Caenorhabditis elegans: one gene and its partners. The protein of the gene in region 2 interacts with the protein of the main gene of each other region in a pairwise test. Each region holds a gene or a part of one and is shown on either strand. Other genes may lie near its edges. The genes, in order: ifa-1, clc-1 and F59C12.3.

Evidence for each region.
Region 1: the proteins of clc-1 (region 2) and ifa-1 interact in a two-hybrid assay, tested with the Caenorhabditis elegans proteins (one large-scale study listed by BioGRID).
Region 3: the proteins of clc-1 (region 2) and F59C12.3 interact in a two-hybrid assay, tested with the Caenorhabditis elegans proteins (one large-scale study listed by BioGRID).

Annotation. Positions count from the first base shown.
Region 1 is NC_003284.9:11,271,132-11,276,032, forward strand, and holds ifa-1 (Intermediate filament protein A), read left to right. Parts: upstream 1-1,665; coding exon 1,666-1,774; intron 1,775-2,138; coding exon 2,139-2,210; intron 2,211-2,258; coding exon 2,259-2,422; intron 2,423-2,469; coding exon 2,470-2,583; intron 2,584-2,631; coding exon 2,632-2,729; intron 2,730-2,805; coding exon 2,806-3,665; intron 3,666-3,712; coding exon 3,713-3,852; intron 3,853-3,901; coding exon 3,902-4,120; intron 4,121-4,173; coding exon 4,174-4,212; 3' UTR 4,213-4,351; downstream 4,352-4,901. UniProt on the Caenorhabditis elegans protein: Cytoplasmic intermediate filaments make up the structural component of the cytoskeleton providing mechanical strength to cells.
Region 2 is NC_003284.9:11,045,669-11,049,841, reverse strand, and holds clc-1 (Claudin), read right to left. Parts: upstream 2,397-4,173; 5' UTR 2,233-2,396; intron 1,607-2,232; 5' UTR 1,600-1,606; coding exon 1,512-1,599; intron 1,461-1,511; coding exon 1,336-1,460; intron 1,291-1,335; coding exon 1,199-1,290; intron 1,152-1,198; coding exon 1,010-1,151; intron 774-1,009; coding exon 672-773; 3' UTR 567-671; downstream 1-566.
Region 3 is NC_003284.9:16,603,475-16,611,464, forward strand, and holds the start of F59C12.3 (Angiomotin_C domain-containing protein), read right to left. Parts: upstream 6,051-7,990; 5' UTR 6,046-6,050; coding exon 5,883-6,045; intron 5,833-5,882; coding exon 5,698-5,832; intron 5,631-5,697; coding exon 5,573-5,630; intron 5,403-5,572; exon of another isoform or gene 5,178-5,402; intron 5,066-5,177; coding exon 4,960-5,065; intron 4,916-4,959; coding exon 4,811-4,915; intron 4,766-4,810; coding exon 4,650-4,765; intron 3,893-4,649; coding exon 3,795-3,892; intron 3,676-3,794; coding exon 3,533-3,675; intron 2,582-3,532; coding exon 2,396-2,581; intron 1,894-2,395; coding exon 1,784-1,893; intron 1,683-1,783; coding exon 1,580-1,682; intron 1,329-1,579; exon of another isoform or gene 1,236-1,328; intron 1,030-1,235; coding exon 969-1,029; intron 835-968; coding exon 744-834; intron 678-743; coding exon 618-677; intron 341-617; coding exon 229-340; 3' UTR 1-228.

The DNA of each region.
Region 1 (4,901 bases), 230 kb from region 2:
ACACCGCCATGCTGGAACGCAGAGAAAACTGTTTATCTTCCCATTTTTCCAGAAACTCGTTCAAACGGATACTTCTCTCAGTGAGAAGCGGTACCTAACCAATCAACATTTCAAAAATGATGGAGATTACCAGAGAAAGTGAGTTTCTTCATTTTAACTACTTAAATTATTCCGATGACTTTCCAGGAGGTGAGTTGCGGAATGTTTGCCTTTGTATTTCGCGGTAAGGTGCTTACCATAGACTAACAAATCTAACTGATCAGCGATTGAAAATTCAAAACTTTGAAAAAATAACATTACAGGCATGCGTTTTTTAAAGAAAAAAGATTAATGAAACAGTGAGATAAGACGGAGTGCAAGATGAACAAGCACATCGGTAAATAAGAGGCTCGTTTCTTGTGCCTTGTCGCAATTTTTTATTGAGATATCTTTCCGATTGTCATTGAAGCATCACATTTATCCGCATAGGCTTATCTTATACTAGTGAATATTTTTGCAACTAGATCCTACTACTTTTTTATATAAAAATGTACACTACTACTCGTCCGGGTAAGTAACTGGCTGAAAATTGCATTCACTTCGGCAAAATAAATTATCTAACAGGAGTTTATTTACAAAAACTTGGTAGATCATTTCTGAATGTATATATAGTTTAAAAAACATCACTTTTTTTTAGACCTGAGCAATTTAAATACTCTTGCTAATATAAAACACCGTGTTTGCTGAAAAAATACAGTGTTTTACATAGTTAAAGCTCAATCCGTTGCTTGAATTTCATTTAAACGAATCCATATTCAATCTTGAAAGTGACAGAAGTAGAATAGGAGTGTTCCCAGATTTAATCGCTTTTGTGAAAACCAGACAACTAACACATATTCTCGCAACTTATATATGTAGGTGTTTCTAAACTTTTTCAAACATATTTGCACCGTTATTCCATTTGAACTAGTCATCAATCAATAAACTACTCGTGAGTACTCAAAGTTAATTCAAGGCTAATTTTCTTCTCACTTCAAATTTTTGAACAATTTTGTACAAACATATATTCCGAGGCGTTGTCTAGTTTTTGTCTCCTCTTCCACAAAAGTGCGTAGGCACGGTAGCAAATTGAAATGAATCACCTCAACCCAAAAAAATCTCAAATGTCATTTCGCACTTTAGCAAAGCCTCGAAACGTATGAATTTATGCAAAAACGCATGTCCAATAGGCGAAAAAAGTAGAATCGAGAGGAATCGTAACGACGTAAGGGTTGACTGAGTTGAGGATGAGATGATTTTTGGAGGACGCGCCCATCCCTCACACCTATTCTTTTTTCCGCATTCGCGCCAGATATCAAGAAGCCGCCGTTCCGTCCTCACTTCACACCCATTTTAAAGTGATTCTTGACGCCTCCCTTTGCAAAAAAATTCCAAACACCGACTTGAATCAATATAAATATACATAGGCAAACAACTATGATCTCATTTCCTTTCGTGGAAAAGGGCAATAATAATATTTGATTGAGTTTTCTATTTCTCCTCATAGATTTTCATAGGTTACTCATAGGTTTTTTTCTCTTTATACAACAGTCTAGAATACTGAAATATATTAATTTTGCATTGCCTGTTTTGTTCTGCCGCCATGTATAAAAAGAGTTGAGGAACAAAAAATTTCATTTTCTGACTATGGAAGGTTATATTGTTTCTCTTCCATCTTCGCGACGATCAAGCGCTTCTAGCGCTCGAAGCGAGCAAAGTTCCACACGAACTGTCAATTACGAAGTGATTGAAAAGAGTAAGCCTTTCTTGTGCCCTCAATTTCAACTAACTCAAAAAATTGCAATTTTCGTTTAATCCCTTTTGTCTACATGCTATTATCATTAGTGTGGGAGGAAGCTGCGGTTGGTAGCAATGAAGGAGGAGGAGTAGAAAATGTTGAATAAAAAGTGAGGAGCAGTGCAAGAAATTTGACGCCCACCTAGTTTGCGCACCGTTGAGACTCCGCTTTTGTCTCTACAGTCAGCCTCCGACTAATTCCTTGGTCACACATTACGGCAGTCAGGGGTTGCCATACAACTCACAACCTCATTTTGAAATTTCGAAGCTGCCGAGTACAGTCGGCCCTTTTCACTTTCACAATAGAAATTTACGATTTGCAGCGATGTCTTTCACTTCCACAACACCTTCAGCTAGAGCTCCGCTCGGAGGGCGTACAACCGGAAACGTTACTTGTAAGTTTATTGTTGTCTGTGCAAAACATTTAAATCAACATATTCCAGCCCAAGATCGTATGCTCAAAATTGTGACCGAGATGCGCTCAGGTGCTGGATCCGGCTTGTCGCCATTTGGACAAAATGCTGCATCAACCATCCGTGACTCTCGTGAACGTGAGAAGAAAGAAATGAGCGATTTGAACGATCGACTTGCTAGCTACATCGAAAAGGTGTGTAATAGGAATAAGATGGACCACACCCAATAGTTGTTTTTTAGGTCCGTTTCCTAGAAGCCCAGAATAGAAAATTGGCAGCCGATCTTGACGCACTTCGTTCCAAATGGGGAAAAGACACGCACAACATTCGTAATATGTATGAGGGAGAACTTGTGGTAGGAAAATACAGAAAGGAAACTTTTGGTTAGAAAACTATATTATAGGATGCTCAAAAGCTGATTGATGAAACCAATAAGCAACGCAAGGATATGGAAGGTCAACTCAAGAAGATGCAAGATGAACTCGCTGAGATGCGCAGAAAGTACGAACATATGTTTTGAAAATTATGAACAGCATATTACCGTTATTATACTTTTTCTACAAAATGTATTTTTCAGATTGGAAGATGCCACCAAGGGCCGTGAACAGGATCGCGCTAAGATCGACGCACTTCTAGTAACCCTTTCTAATCTTGAAGCTGAAATTAGCCTTCTGAAACGTCGTATTGCTCAGCTTGAGGATGAGGTGAAGCGGATCAAGCAAGAGAATCAGCGTTTGCTTTCTGAGCTTCAAAGAGCCCGTACCGACTTGGATCAAGAAACCCTCAATCGTATTGACTACCAAAACCAAGTTCAAACTCTTCTTGAGGAGATTGATTTCTTGCGTCGTGTCCATGACAATGAGATCAAGGAGCTTCAAACTTTGGCTTCTCGTGATACTACTCCAGAAAACCGCGAGTTCTTCAAGAACGAACTCTCCTCGGCTATTCGTGACATCCGTGAGGAATATGACCAAGTCAACAACGTTCACCGTAATGACATGGAATCCTGGTATCGTCTTAAGGTCCAAGAGATCCAAACGCAGTCTGCCAGACAGAACATGGAACAAGGGTATGCCAAAGAAGAAGTCAAAAGACTCCGCACCCAACTCAGCGATTTGCGTGGAAAGCTCGCTGATCTTGAAAGCCGCAACTCTCTCCTCGAGAAACAAATTCAAGAGCTCAACTACCAATTGGAAGATGATCAGAGATCTTATGAAGCAGCCCTCAACGACAGAGATTCCCAAATCCGCAAAATGCGTGAGGAATGCCAAGCCCTTATGGTCGAATTGCAAATGCTCCTGGATACCAAACAAACTTTGGATGCCGAAATCGCCATCTACAGAAAGATGCTCGAAGGAGAAGAGAACCGTGCTGGACTCAAGCAACTTGTCGAACAGGTTGTCAAGACCCATGCTATCACACAGGAAACCGATACCGGTAGCAGAAAGACAATTTTTTCCATTAAAACATACATCCTTTTTCAGAGACGATGAGAGTCGTCAAGGGCGAAACTGCATCCCGTCAATCGTTCCAGCGTTCTGCAAAGGGAAATGTTTCTATCCACGAGGCATCGCCGGATGGAAAGTTCATCGTCCTCCAGAACACACATCGTGCCAAGGACGAGGTAGGAACTTGAATCACAACAGTTTCAAATATTTTTTGTTCTCTTTCAGGCTATCGGTGAGTGGAAGTTGAAGAGACGTATCGACGGAAAACGTGAGAATGTCTACACGCTTCCAAGAGACTTTGTCCTTCGTGCCGGAAAGACCCTCAAAATCTTCGCCCGTAACCAAGGAGTTGCCTCACCACCAGATCAATTGGTCTATGATGCTGAAGACTCGTTCGGAAGCGGAAACAACGTCCAAACCATCCTCTTCAACAAAGAAGGAGAGGTGAGATCAACAATTAAATGTCATTATATTTACAACATTGATATTAATTTCAGGAACGTGCTACCCACATCCAACGCCAGAGCACTGCCTAATCAGGCGACTTCCCAACAATTAACTAGATATTGTGACAATTTCTTGTTGAAAATCCCAAAATCTTCTTCCCATTTTGTAACTTTCATGCTGATTTCTGCGCATTTATTTGACCTTATTTCAATAAATCATTTATCATTCAAACATCAAAAAAAAATTTGATCACAATGTATTTGCGTAGGTTATTTTCATAGAACAGATGATGTAAAATTCTCAAAATCGTCGGAATTCGCCCACCTGAAATGGAAGCGTATGTTTTTGGTTACTAATCAATAGAGCTGAACGAAATGCCGTAAATAATTGTATATCGGCGAGATGAGCCGACGTCGACATCTAAAACTCGCGTTACTGAGAAGTTTAAAGTGTTGTCCTTCTTAAAATTCCAGTTGCACGAATATAATGTTTTAAATTTTTAAATATAATTTTGAAGTAGGAGCGTATGCCAAACAAGGGAAAATATTTTGAAACTATGGTCACTGCGCTTGATTCGAGAAAATGAAGCTACTACAAAACTGTCTAGGGTTTTAACAAAATATTTTTCCGCTGGAATTGTTACCAAATACTTTTTCAGCGTTCCATCTAAAAGCACATCTATTGCATTTTTAAATGAGCTTTAAATTTGCACTGAGCACTACAGTTTGCTATATTATTTCAATAAAAAAATAGAAAGCGATTTTGAGATATGTATGCT
Region 2 (4,173 bases):
TTAATAAGCGGAATATGTATATTGTATATAGTCATATATTGAATTGTCAGTCAGTTGCTTTCACAGAAAAAACAACTTTTTAGAATTCATGTCACTATCTAAAGATTTTCACCAATCTTTACTTCTATCAAAATGTTTACAATGACTCACTTTTTCAACCTTTGTTGCACAATACATCTTTCAATTTTTGCTCAAACACTTGGCATTGTTACATTTCATCTAACATATTATGTTCCGAGTTCAACTAATGATCTTTCTCGCTGCGCGCGTTTTTCAAATTCTTAAGAAACTGTGAAATAATTGACTATGTTCTTTGACCGAGCCTCAGTAGTGATGCCTCCCACGCCGCAAACTTGGGAGCAACAAGTCGAAAAAAATCGACAAAAATTGCTCCTGATCTTCGTGACACGTCAGTGTGTCACTAAGAACAGACATATTCACATGTCTTACCACAGTTCAAAAGACCTTTTACAAACACAAAACCGTTACATTTTTTGCCGTCCCCATCTTGCCAGTCTTGTTTGCACTTTTTCAGTGTAGTTCGGCGTTAAATGCGAAAAACCAAGTTCAAAATCTTACAAAGCTTTAACAAATAGATTGGTGCCGACGTCTGGGCTGAGCAGTTTATATCACAGAAAATGCAGGGAAATAATAAATATAATCAAGTTTAATTAACAGCAGTGTTCCCCAAGACACACTGTTAGTGCTCCCAAAATGACATCCGCCGCAGATAAGATGAGGGCTCCAACTGCAAGCCAAAACGAGTATCCAAGCTGAAAAATTAAGTTGTGAGTTTGTACAAACAAAGGTTTATGAGCAGCTTTTGCGCCTTAGGGTATGTGCAGATTGGCCAAAAAGTTGTTCAATGTGAGATAGGGAGGGTTTCTCAAAGCTTTATAATCGGGTTTTAAAGGGTTAGAACATGTGTAAAAAAAGAGTTTTAGTGAAGTTTAATAGTTTCAATCAAATAATTTTACACTTTTTCCCACATTAAGAATAGCATTCTCACCTGCGAGTTTGTATTAATTCCATTTGTAAATTGATTCCATTCAGCTGCATAAACAATAACAGCGATGAGCAGAAGAATAGTAGAGATGACTGCAAAGAGGGTGAGTGGATGGATGATATATTTCTTGCAGCAGCAGGCAAGGCTGAAAGTTGTTTGAATTATATTAATGTCGGCTTTCGCTAATCTAACCATGTCAAAAAGTTGTAGACAACTGCAAAAATTTGGACAATCAAAGAGAGGATCATGCAGACGACGACACATTTCATCCATCCTGGAAGATTCTGAAAACAGTATTTTTGAGCATATAAATAATTTCATCAACATACCGCCCACCAATCCTGACACTGGGTTCCCTGAGAGTGACCAATACATGACCAAGGCATCAAGCCATTCCATTCAGATGTGTTGATATGAGTTATATCTTTCACATTATTTTCAACAGTATTCCAACCTGAGAGTTTGAAAATTCACTTTTTCTAACATCTCCAAAGATGAAACATACTTGGCGTAAACAAAGCAACTGCTGTTAAAATAGCACTACCAGCCATAATAAGTCCATAGAGAATTTGGGTGAGTCCGGAAAGACACATTGTGAACCTGAAACATATGGTTTTAATTTTAATATTTTTTTCAGAAGATTGACGGACAAAAAGTATTAAAAAAGTATGAAAACAATTTCTCCTAAATATGGAAATTTCTATTGACGACAGACAAACACATGGTGGCATCTATGCAACCACCTAGTTACGGAATGAGAATGCACTTCAATGTAAGAATGACGACAGCACAAAATACTAAAATAGCCTGCACATTTGACAACTATACATCTTAACCAAAATATGAAAATGATGAAATAAATGCTCAAAGTGGGCAGAAACAGTGTTTTTCTTATCGCCATTGCCAACTGGGCTGTAAAAGTTTGGGAGGGACACAGGAAGAAGTGATAAAACTAGATGCAAAAAGTCAAAACGGATTTTTTTAATTTTTGAATAGATTTTAGATACTCGGAGAGTGAAAAATAAAACAACAAACGTCGTTTGAAGCATTCAAAATATTTTCACAAAACCTGATGTATCAAGTTACATTACTAAAGGACCAATTTTGGAAGAAAATTTCACAACCCGAACTAGTTTTCAAGAAATAAGGAATGGCAACGTGCTATGTCACACAAACTGGAATGAAAAAAATGCTTCATAGATAAGATTGAACACTCAAATATTTACCTTAAATGTCGATGGGACGGCGTGAACTTGATAGAAAATATGAAAAATGTGTGTTATATACAAGAGTTAGGCTAGTTTTAAAGTAAAGAGGTGGAGAGAAATAAAGCGTTTGCTTGCTCGTATCAGTAGAACTCCTCGACACGTCATGTAACCGTTTTCGGTATGATTCAGTCAAGAGATAGACCAAAAAATAAAGTGTTGATAAGAAACTCAAGTTGGGCGTTGTAGAATTTTGAAAGTTGACATAGAGCCATTTCTTAATTTCTGTTAAAATTCTTTGTGAGTCAGCGAGTTTTGAGCAGATGGAAACGGTGATTAGTTCGTATAATCGTTATCAACTTACAGTCAGATGCTCAAATATTTCGACGAATTTTCCTATCATTTCAGCCAGTATCTTTCGTAGTTTTACAAAAGTGGAGTTTACGGTGAATCACGTATATGCGAACACAAAAGTGACGTGTTTTCATTTTTCAAAAACTTTTGTTTAGTAAGCTTCACTCAAAATGTTTTGAAACAAGCTTCAAACTTTCAAATGATTTTTTTGTGAATATTTAAAAAAAAAACTGATTTATTGGCAAGAAACAGGTGGTTTCAGCTAACTTTCTTTTTACGTCTGGAAATATAAAAAATTCGAAAACATTTTTATTTCGTGGAAATAATAATAACTTTAAATTGTTGGTTTTTTTTTGGTAAAGATTGGAAAATCAAAGCTAATTAATTTTCCAATCAGATCGTTAGCAAATTGTTCAAGATTTTTATCATACATGCCTGAACAATAATATTTACTAGAAGGTTATTTGATGTTTTAAATAACCAAAACAATAATGATAAACGGAATTTATGACTTGACATTTTTCAAAGTGTATCAGGTATGTGAAATAACCGAACCTTTAAAGGTGGAGTAGCACCAGTGGGGATTTCGTCTAAATGCACTTATAATGATCTAAAACAACCGAATATCATAAGAAAAAACTCCAACAAATTTTAGATGTTTTCTAGTTTCCGGTCAAAGTTTTGGCAAGTTGTCAAAATTTTGAAAAAAATGTGAGTTTTGAGGAAATCCATAACTATGTCGAATGTTCCGACTACTACAATATTCTATTACAAATAGTTAAAACAAAGTTACAGTATGATAAAAAATGTAGGAACAAACTTTTTTTGGTCGACTTCCGAAATTAGTTGCAAAAACTGAGTAATTTTCACATTTTGACAGTAAACAAAAAAAAAGTTTTCAAAAAAATTTTGAAACATTTTATTATGCTATTCGGTCATTTTGGAACCATAGGAATAGTTTTTCACTCTTTCCCTACTAGCGCTACTCCACCTTTAGGTTTTTTTGAGTTTGAAGACTACCAATGTCAATCTATAATACAAAAGAAGAATGTTGTCTATTTCAGCATGTTGCAAAAAACGTATGAAACTTGGAACATCGAGAATGCTCACGACACGGGTTCACGACGGGTTCACGACACTAATTGTGGATTTGTTTGTTTTGATGGACTTGAAATAAAACCAAAAAATTGAATTTCACAGTGAAAATTTCTGTAGTTATCAAAAAAACGCTGAAAACTGGACCAAATTATTTTAAAAAATTATAAAAATAAGCAATAGAAGCAACTTGGCAAAAATTAAAGGTTTAGCATAGCTTGGTTTCTCTCGAACGTTCCAATTTCCATAAATCCCTACTGAAAGAGTTTTGCTAATTCAAATTACGAAAATATCATATGTAGTAGATCTGTTCGATTTGGGTTTCCATTAATACAAAGTTCTCAAATTGCTAACTAAAAATGAGTAGGAATGAAAGTAAACAGAGAAACAGTTTCTTGGAACATATCCTCAAAAAACTTAATTTGAACAATTGAAGTAGTATTGCAAATATTTTATAAGATCTGAAAGTTTACAAACAACAGTTGATTGAAAAAAACAAGTGATTAGTACTTT
Region 3 (7,990 bases), 5.6 Mb from region 2:
CTTATGAAGCTGATGGAAAAAATACAAGTACATCATCTAAACTGGCTAAAAATTAAAAGAACAAAACTACATACAAATTGTATTAAGAGGAATGGACTTTGGAAACTTGAATTGAAAAATAAATTGAATTATGCATGTAACAGAAAGTAACAAAGAAGGAAAGTGTGTTGTTGGTAGCGTGTTTGTAAATAATAAATAGAATTTCGATGACTAGTGCATGAGGAATATTCAAGAAAATTGGTTATCCGCAAGTATTGACTTGTTATTGTTACTATTTTTGAACATATTGTAAGGAATTGGAGCAGTCGGTACAGGGTCGAATGATGATCCAGATGATGATCTGCAACTTTTTTTGTATAGTTTGTTACTTTTGAAGATGTTTATCGAATCGTAATAGATTCTGGAGCTAGTATTTTCAGCTTGACCTATGTGTGTTTCTAGAAAGTATTCAACTGAAAATTTTATACTCAAAAACTAACTTAAAAAGGAACTTACAATTAGAGAAAAGTTCAAGATTCACTGTAGTTTTGCTTTCGTTCAGAAAACTCAAATTTTGAGTACTTTTTGCAAAGTTTCCTAGGAAGAAAAAACAACGGTCTCATAATTTTTTGTCTCACCTCCGATGAAGAGAATTTTGCATCAACGAGCCCGATGAAGTTCTTGCATGTTCTGATAGCCTGGAATATGGGAATTAAGGAAATTATATTTGATTTATTTGAGCAATTAATAAAACTGCGTCTTACCCTCCAGTCACGCCCATTCGACCTTTTTTCTTCCTTTCCTGTATTTTCTGTCTAATTTCCTCCATTCTACTCAGTGCCTCGTCTCCGCTGTCTGGAAAAAAAGAAAAGAAATGAGAAAAAAAAGGAGAGAGGAAGAAGAGTGCTCTTTTCACATGCCAAAAGAAATGCAGTCGACGCTTCCCCCTTTGCCTTTCTTTTTTCCCGACTAGGGCTTCATATACTCACTTTTATCTACCATTGCTGCATATTTGTCCCGCTCCGACCTCAGTTCGTTGATGATCAGATCCTAAAATTTATCAATTATTCATCGAATATGCCCGTTGTAATTTGTGAGCTCATTTCAAAGTGTGTTTTCTGATGTTCTCTATAATAGAAATAAAGCTCATTTCTAGTATATCAAATATCAGAAACATTTTTATTTATTCTAGGCGCGATAATTAAATATACCAATCTAAAATTACTCTCTTGAATTAAACTCCCAAAGTTATTAGGCAAAAAGATTCTCCCCGGCCGGGAATTGAACCCGGGTCTCGCATGTGACAGACGCGGATACTCACCACTATACTACCGAGGACACGAAAGAGAGCGGTTGTTGAGGCTTTTATAAACTGGGTTTATGACCGAAAATTTAGTGCTATATAGTATATGTAACAATAAATTATGTTAATATGTATAAGGGGCAACTGGGAAACTTTAAACAATTTATTGAAAACATTTTCTGTGAGAAAACACGTAACCTTGAAAAGTAACGTCTCTATTTTTGAAAAGATCCCTTATAAATGTTTTCACTTGTTTTAAATTTTGTATAAAAAATTTAGCAGCAGTTCTTGCCTCACCTTTTCATAACTCTCCTCTTTCAATTTGTCCACCTGGGTTTCAAAGTTGTCAGTTATTGTTGCAAGAGTTGACTTCCGTTGCTCAGTTTTGTCACCGTGAGTTCTAAAAAAAGCTTTTTCAATTCTGCTCTCCATTTCCGTTTTCGGCTCAGTTCTTCAACAAACGAAGAGAATAAAAGAAGAGAGAAAGAAAAAAAAACAAACTTTCGCAAATCGTTCACCATTCTTTCGAGTTGCTGAATCTTGTCGTCTTTTGATTGAATGCTCTTTCGCATTCGAATAAGATCCTCTGTGCTGCCGGGAGTAGTGGTTCGCTGCAAAATTGATGATTATGCAAATGAGTAGTGGTTAGTAATTCCATGAGTAATTCTATAGATGTTCTGGCATGTTCTATTTCAGGGCTTATGTACTACTATGTACAAAGACGGCTTAGACGGCAATATCTAGGATAAGATTGTTATAGAAGATAAACTAATAATAATAGTTTATAATTTTAATTTCCAGTAAAAAAATTATGAGATGCTAGAAAAATTTTTAATTCTCCATTTTTTAATGGTATATATTAGAAAAATGATGACGCTCTTTAGACCCTCTGCAAACGTTTTCAAATGTACTAACCTATAGGCGTCCCATCTAATTTTCAGAAAAAAAATACTGAGACCGGTGCTGATCTATATCAATAAAACTTTCATTACCGGACATTTAACCCCATAATCGGGAACCGGTTCAAATGTTGTCGCCCCCCCCCCCCCTTTTCCTAGCACACCCCACATTACTTTCATTTACTACTATTTCTCTCCCTGTTTCGAGACAAACCTTAAGACTTCCAGTGAGTGATGTGTCTTTGTTCAATTGCATTCTTAGCTGAGTCTTCTCCATTTCCCACTGAGCCCGTTCCGACTCAACCATCTGATCCCTCCGATGTTGTTCTTCCCATACTTCGTTTAGTTGCTTTCGCAGCTCATCAGCGTGTGCCACTACAGCGGACAATTCTTCGCATTTCTAGAAAAAGTGTTTCTTATTGAATTTTAATTTCAAAAAAAAGATAACGTACTATCAAGAAAACAGTTTTGATTTGGGAGCTTTAAAAAATATTTTTAATGTAAGTTAAGAAAGCAAAAAACATTTTTTAGAGAAGTCCGGAAGTGCAAGGTATATTGCAAAGTTAAATTAAAATTTGAATTTCGCAATATTTTTTGAATATGAATGCAAAAGTAATGGTACATAACTATTTGAGTGCCTTTAAAATTACCTTGAAAATAGAAAAAAAATTGATAGACAAGTTCTGAATGTTTCTAAACACAGCACGTTTTCAATTGTTGTTTGTATCACATGGAAGTTTTTTTTCATTTCTTATTTTCCCACGTCAGTTTGCAAATTTTTTTCGCGTTTCACTTTTATTCATTATTATATCAATTGGAGTGTCTCATCAAAAACAAAAAAAATGAGACAACTGTTAAAAATCTATTTCAAGTAAAAATTGATTTCCGGCTAGTGAGACAATTTTTTATTTATTTTTGGGTTGTCTCGTTATGAAGTCATGTTGATCAAAATCCTTAAAAACCGAAAAAGTGGCCAAAGGTGACCAAACCTGGCCACCAATGGGCTCTAAATGTACCATAATCAACGAAGTGAGATCATAATTCAAAAACTTCAATTTCCGACTACTGCGACACGGTAAAATATTCTAAATTAGAGATTTTAGCTAACAGTCAGGAAAAAAAAATTTTAAATTTTTGGAGAAGTTTCATTACGAATTTCGTTCATTTGAAAACATTTTTAGTCTATATGTTCAGAAATTCTCCATATTCACAAAATACCCAAACAACTGTTCACTTTTATCAAAAGTACACTGTTGTGGTCCTATACTTTTGTTCTCCCCCCATTTTCCCATAAATAAATTGGAAATGTTATCCATTCCGCTCAGCACATTCTCCCACAAATATTCCATACTTTTTCCCGCTTCGCCAATCTCTCTTGTGAATTGGCGAGTGCCTTCTCAAGCATTGCAATATGATTTCGTTGCTCCTCCAACGTCTGATTCTGTGCCTCAATCTCCATTTTTTGCCGCTCTTTGCATGCGAAGAGTTCTTGCCCTGAATCGGAAAAAAATCAATTGTATAAGTATTTTATTCGTTTTTTTTTTCATATTTCTCATTCTGCTTCTCTGTTTCCAGTTCTATTGTATCAAATTTATTTCTTTTTTTCTCCTCACTCTGCTGAATTTCGTTTAACATCAGGTTCGCCACCATCGTTGGTTCAGTACTTGCTTTTTCCAGCCGCATTTGCAAGTCGTCTCTTTCGATGGTAAGTCTGAAACTAAGATTTTTAGAAGATAATGGATTTTCCTGTTGATTGGATGTTTGTTTGATATATTGCCGCTTGTCAGTTTTTTTTTTGGATAAACTTTTTAAAATAAAAATATTGTAAAATTTCAGAAAAATATGCCCGTGTAAAACTTTGTATGAAATAAGCTTTTTTTTGCTTACTCGGCATTTGGTTCTGGCTTCTTGCCCAACTTTGTCCTACAAAATATCAACATGGATTGGCGCAACTTGGCCAAAAGTTAGGCAAGACTTCGGCAAAAATTACACCAAAGTTCAACACAAGTTTCACCCAACTCTCGCCAGACTTCTACCAAAGTTTGAAACGAAACAAGAAAAGTTTGGGCCAAAGTTTGGCAAGAGTTGGGTTTAAAGTAGGGTAAGAGTAGAGTTCGGCTTTGGTTAAACTCTGGTGCAGTCTCAATCCTTTTTCTCAAGTTTAGCCAACTTCTAAGCCAAGTTAAGATTTTTTGGGCCAAACTTGGGCAAGTTGCAAGAGCCAAATGCGAAGAGTATTTTGCCCAAGTTTGTTTAATCAAATCATTATTGTTGTGAACTTCAATGATATTAGTTGTGTTCAATGTTTGTCTAGTTTGCCCCAAACAACAAAAAAGTGCTGCTCGTGAATTTTGTGAAATAGTTTTCAATTCATTTTTAAATGGAAACTTTTTTATATTGCCTTCATTAGATATAAATATCAGAAAATTGTTGTCTCTTTTTACCGACAAGATTTTCAACCAACTTACTTTTTTACAGACTTTTCCAATTGAATAATCACGTTCAGCTCTAAATTTTCTTGCTTTTTTCGTTCATTTGCCAAGTATTCGTATTCTTTTTCCAGTCGAGCATATGAGTATTCAATCTGCAAGCATTTAGGTTTCCCACTATTTTGAAACTTCCAACAAACCTGTTGTAGTTTTGAAAGACTGCGCTTGAAAGCGTCGAGCTCTTTTTTCAAGTGCACATTCTCCTCGCGGAGAATTTGAATGAGCTTCTGGTTGCTGGATACTCCCTAAAATAATTGTTTGTTTTGCTGTTGCTTGTTGAAGTTCTTACTCTGTTAGTTTGGCTCAATGTGGGGACGTCAAGTGCTTGATCTCCAGATGCAGATGCCCTACGCTGATAGGCAGATGTGCTCATTTTTGATTCATTTGGGGGAATACTGAAATTATTAATGTTTAAAAGAAGAAGGTCAAGCTTTTTTTTGTAAAAAAAATATCTCAGGAAAAATGTTGAGTTTGTCAAAAAAGTTTGTTTGTTTTTTGAAATGCAACTTGAAAGTAGGAAGTTTTAATTTTAGATAATCGTTTAGCTAAAAACCTGTGCGGAAGTTGTTTAAAAGTTTTTCCATACGAATATAGTGATTAAATATAAAAATGAAACTCTTGTTATAATTTTTGAATTTTTTATTCACAAAAAAAAAAGAGAGAAATCTAGCAATTTTTCAGTATTCGTCACTTACTACTTATTAAATTCACCAAAATGTTTTCTACGATTTTTATAATTTTATAAAATGAAAAAAAAAATGCTACAAATTTCCTTATTTAAAAAGTGTGGCTGAAATTAATGCATAGTGGGAAACACTGTGGATAAAGTTATTGATACATTCAAAAAAAATTTTACAGTTTACCGTATAACGTTTCAAAAACATCATAAAACCAATACTTACTCTGACGATCTTGATCCACTCGCAATAAGACATGGCTGAGAATGACTGATAGGTGATGCTGAAATAATATACTATTTTCATCAATCCACCAAAAACAGAAAAAAAACAAAAAATGTCACACGCACGTCCTGCACTTCCATGTAAATCCTTCCGGCTGTTTGCTCTTTGCATGTTCATTTCAAGCTGATATTTTTCGAGCATCTTCTGCAACCGCTTCTCGTCGTCATCCTTGCTTTTTGTTTGAGCCTGGTGGTTCATCACTGAAAAATAGTTTTTCGAATTGCAGGACCCCTGGTTCGATATTGCTCACCACTCGCTTTCAGACTTGGATTCAACTGAGCCTCCTTTAGAAGTGAGTCTAAAATGTTCGTCTCTCCCTGATACATGGGTGTCGGTGGCACTGCATGCACTCGTCGCTGATCCGATGATGTGCCATCCGACGAGCGCGGATCTATCACGTCCCCTCGATTCATTCACCCTGAGATTAGTTTCGATTAAATAGTGAATCATCAAGATTGAATGTAGAACGAGAAAAAAATAGGTGAGAAAAATTAGACATTTATTTGGGTGCTAATATGGCAATCATACCTAGAAATATTTAATCAATAACGTAATTCTCACGTGGTCATTTTTCAACTAAACTACATGAAGCTAATACTAACATGAATTTTAACTTCACATCTTGAATGAATGAATATTTTGAATGCAAATACAAACGTGGTGTCAGGCCCACGGTGTCAGGCATTACGGTTTCATCTACAAAAAATGCGGGAGTTTTTCAATCGAAAAAAAATTGACGCCAGCGCGTTCTTAACCGTGCAAAATCAGTTGAGAACTCTGCGTCTGAACTCCTGCATTTTTTGTAGGTCTACGTAGATCAAACCAAAATGAGACACATTGACGCCACAAGAATACATGAAAAAATGATACAAAATTATATGTATTCTGGAAAAAAATTAAACAAAACTAAACCATGAATATTGTTGCCAGTGCAACATGTTCCCAAATTTTACGAATGATAAGAAGACACTTCGTGAGCTAATACATACAATGTAGAAACATTTTCATTAGTTTAAAATTGAATTAAATCTAATTTGATAATATACCAATACTCTAAACTGTAAGACCAAACTAAAAGTGACAATTTCTGGTATAAGTCACAAATACTCAACAACAAAAAACTAACACAAACCCGTCTCGGGCGGTCAAACGCAGTTTCGATTAAACTACACTAAAAGGTTTCAAGTGACCTGACCCGAAATGCAAGTTCCTAATTATATAATTACACGCGTTCGTGTGGAAGACCTTCTTTCCAAAATCGTTTAGTTTAGTTCTGATTATCGCGGCTTATCCGTGTTAATCTCTGACGTGGTCGAAATCCAAAATGAAGAAACTTATGTTTTTGCTGTTTTTTCCAGTTTTTTTGTTTTTGAATCATGTGTACTGAACAACAAATGGGCAGGATGAAAAGCAAAATATGATGAAGCTAGCCGAAAACATAAACAATAGAAACAAAAACTTCGAAACAAAAATATGAGGAAAGAGAATATGTTTTATATGACGAATTTTTTTAAAACTATTTTGATATTTAATGTGTAGTTTTTCGTTTAATAATTTTAGGTATGGTATGTTTTGTATCAATTTTGCACCCCATGGTATTTTTCATGGATCTTCTATGATTCCCAGCGTCTTCAAAATGCTCGTATAATTTTGTTTCTAAATGTGCACATTTTTGTTTGAATCCTACGTAAATTCCAGTTTTGTATATTGAATTTCAAATATAAACAGTCAAAAAATGGTATTGCAAGAAATACTGCAATGAAAAACACAGTAGTTCTAGGAATTACGAACAAAAATTAATTCGTCGGTTTATCATCTTGTAGAATTGGATTTTTGACTTCTGATTTTTTTAAATATTTTAGAATCTTTTTCGATTTTACTTACTTACTTAGTTTTACCTAGTTTTATTTAGTTTTATTTGGTTTTATTTTATTTTTTCTTTGATACTGAGTTTTATCGAATTTTCACATAAATTGCTTTAAGTTTCCTTGAACAAATCATTTGAAAATCATCAAAAGTATTTTAGGATCATTTTATGCGTTAGTGATTATTGATTTAATATATGGGTTATTGAATAGAAAATGCCAATTTTTTGATTCTATGTGACAATTGGTTTCTTTCTTTGTGATAGCAAATTAAAAAAATATTTCAATGTCATAATAATTAACTAGAAGCTTCAATAATGAACTATGAATAGCATATAAGTTTGAAATCTATTGATAAAAGATTATCAACAAAAAAGAAAAGAGTTAAACCATGTAAAACTTTTAGTCAAGTGTTAGAAATGTGTTGATTGAGTAGCCCCTCTCGAGACGCGAGTAAGAAATCGATTGATCAACGATAGGTGGGAGGCAGTGC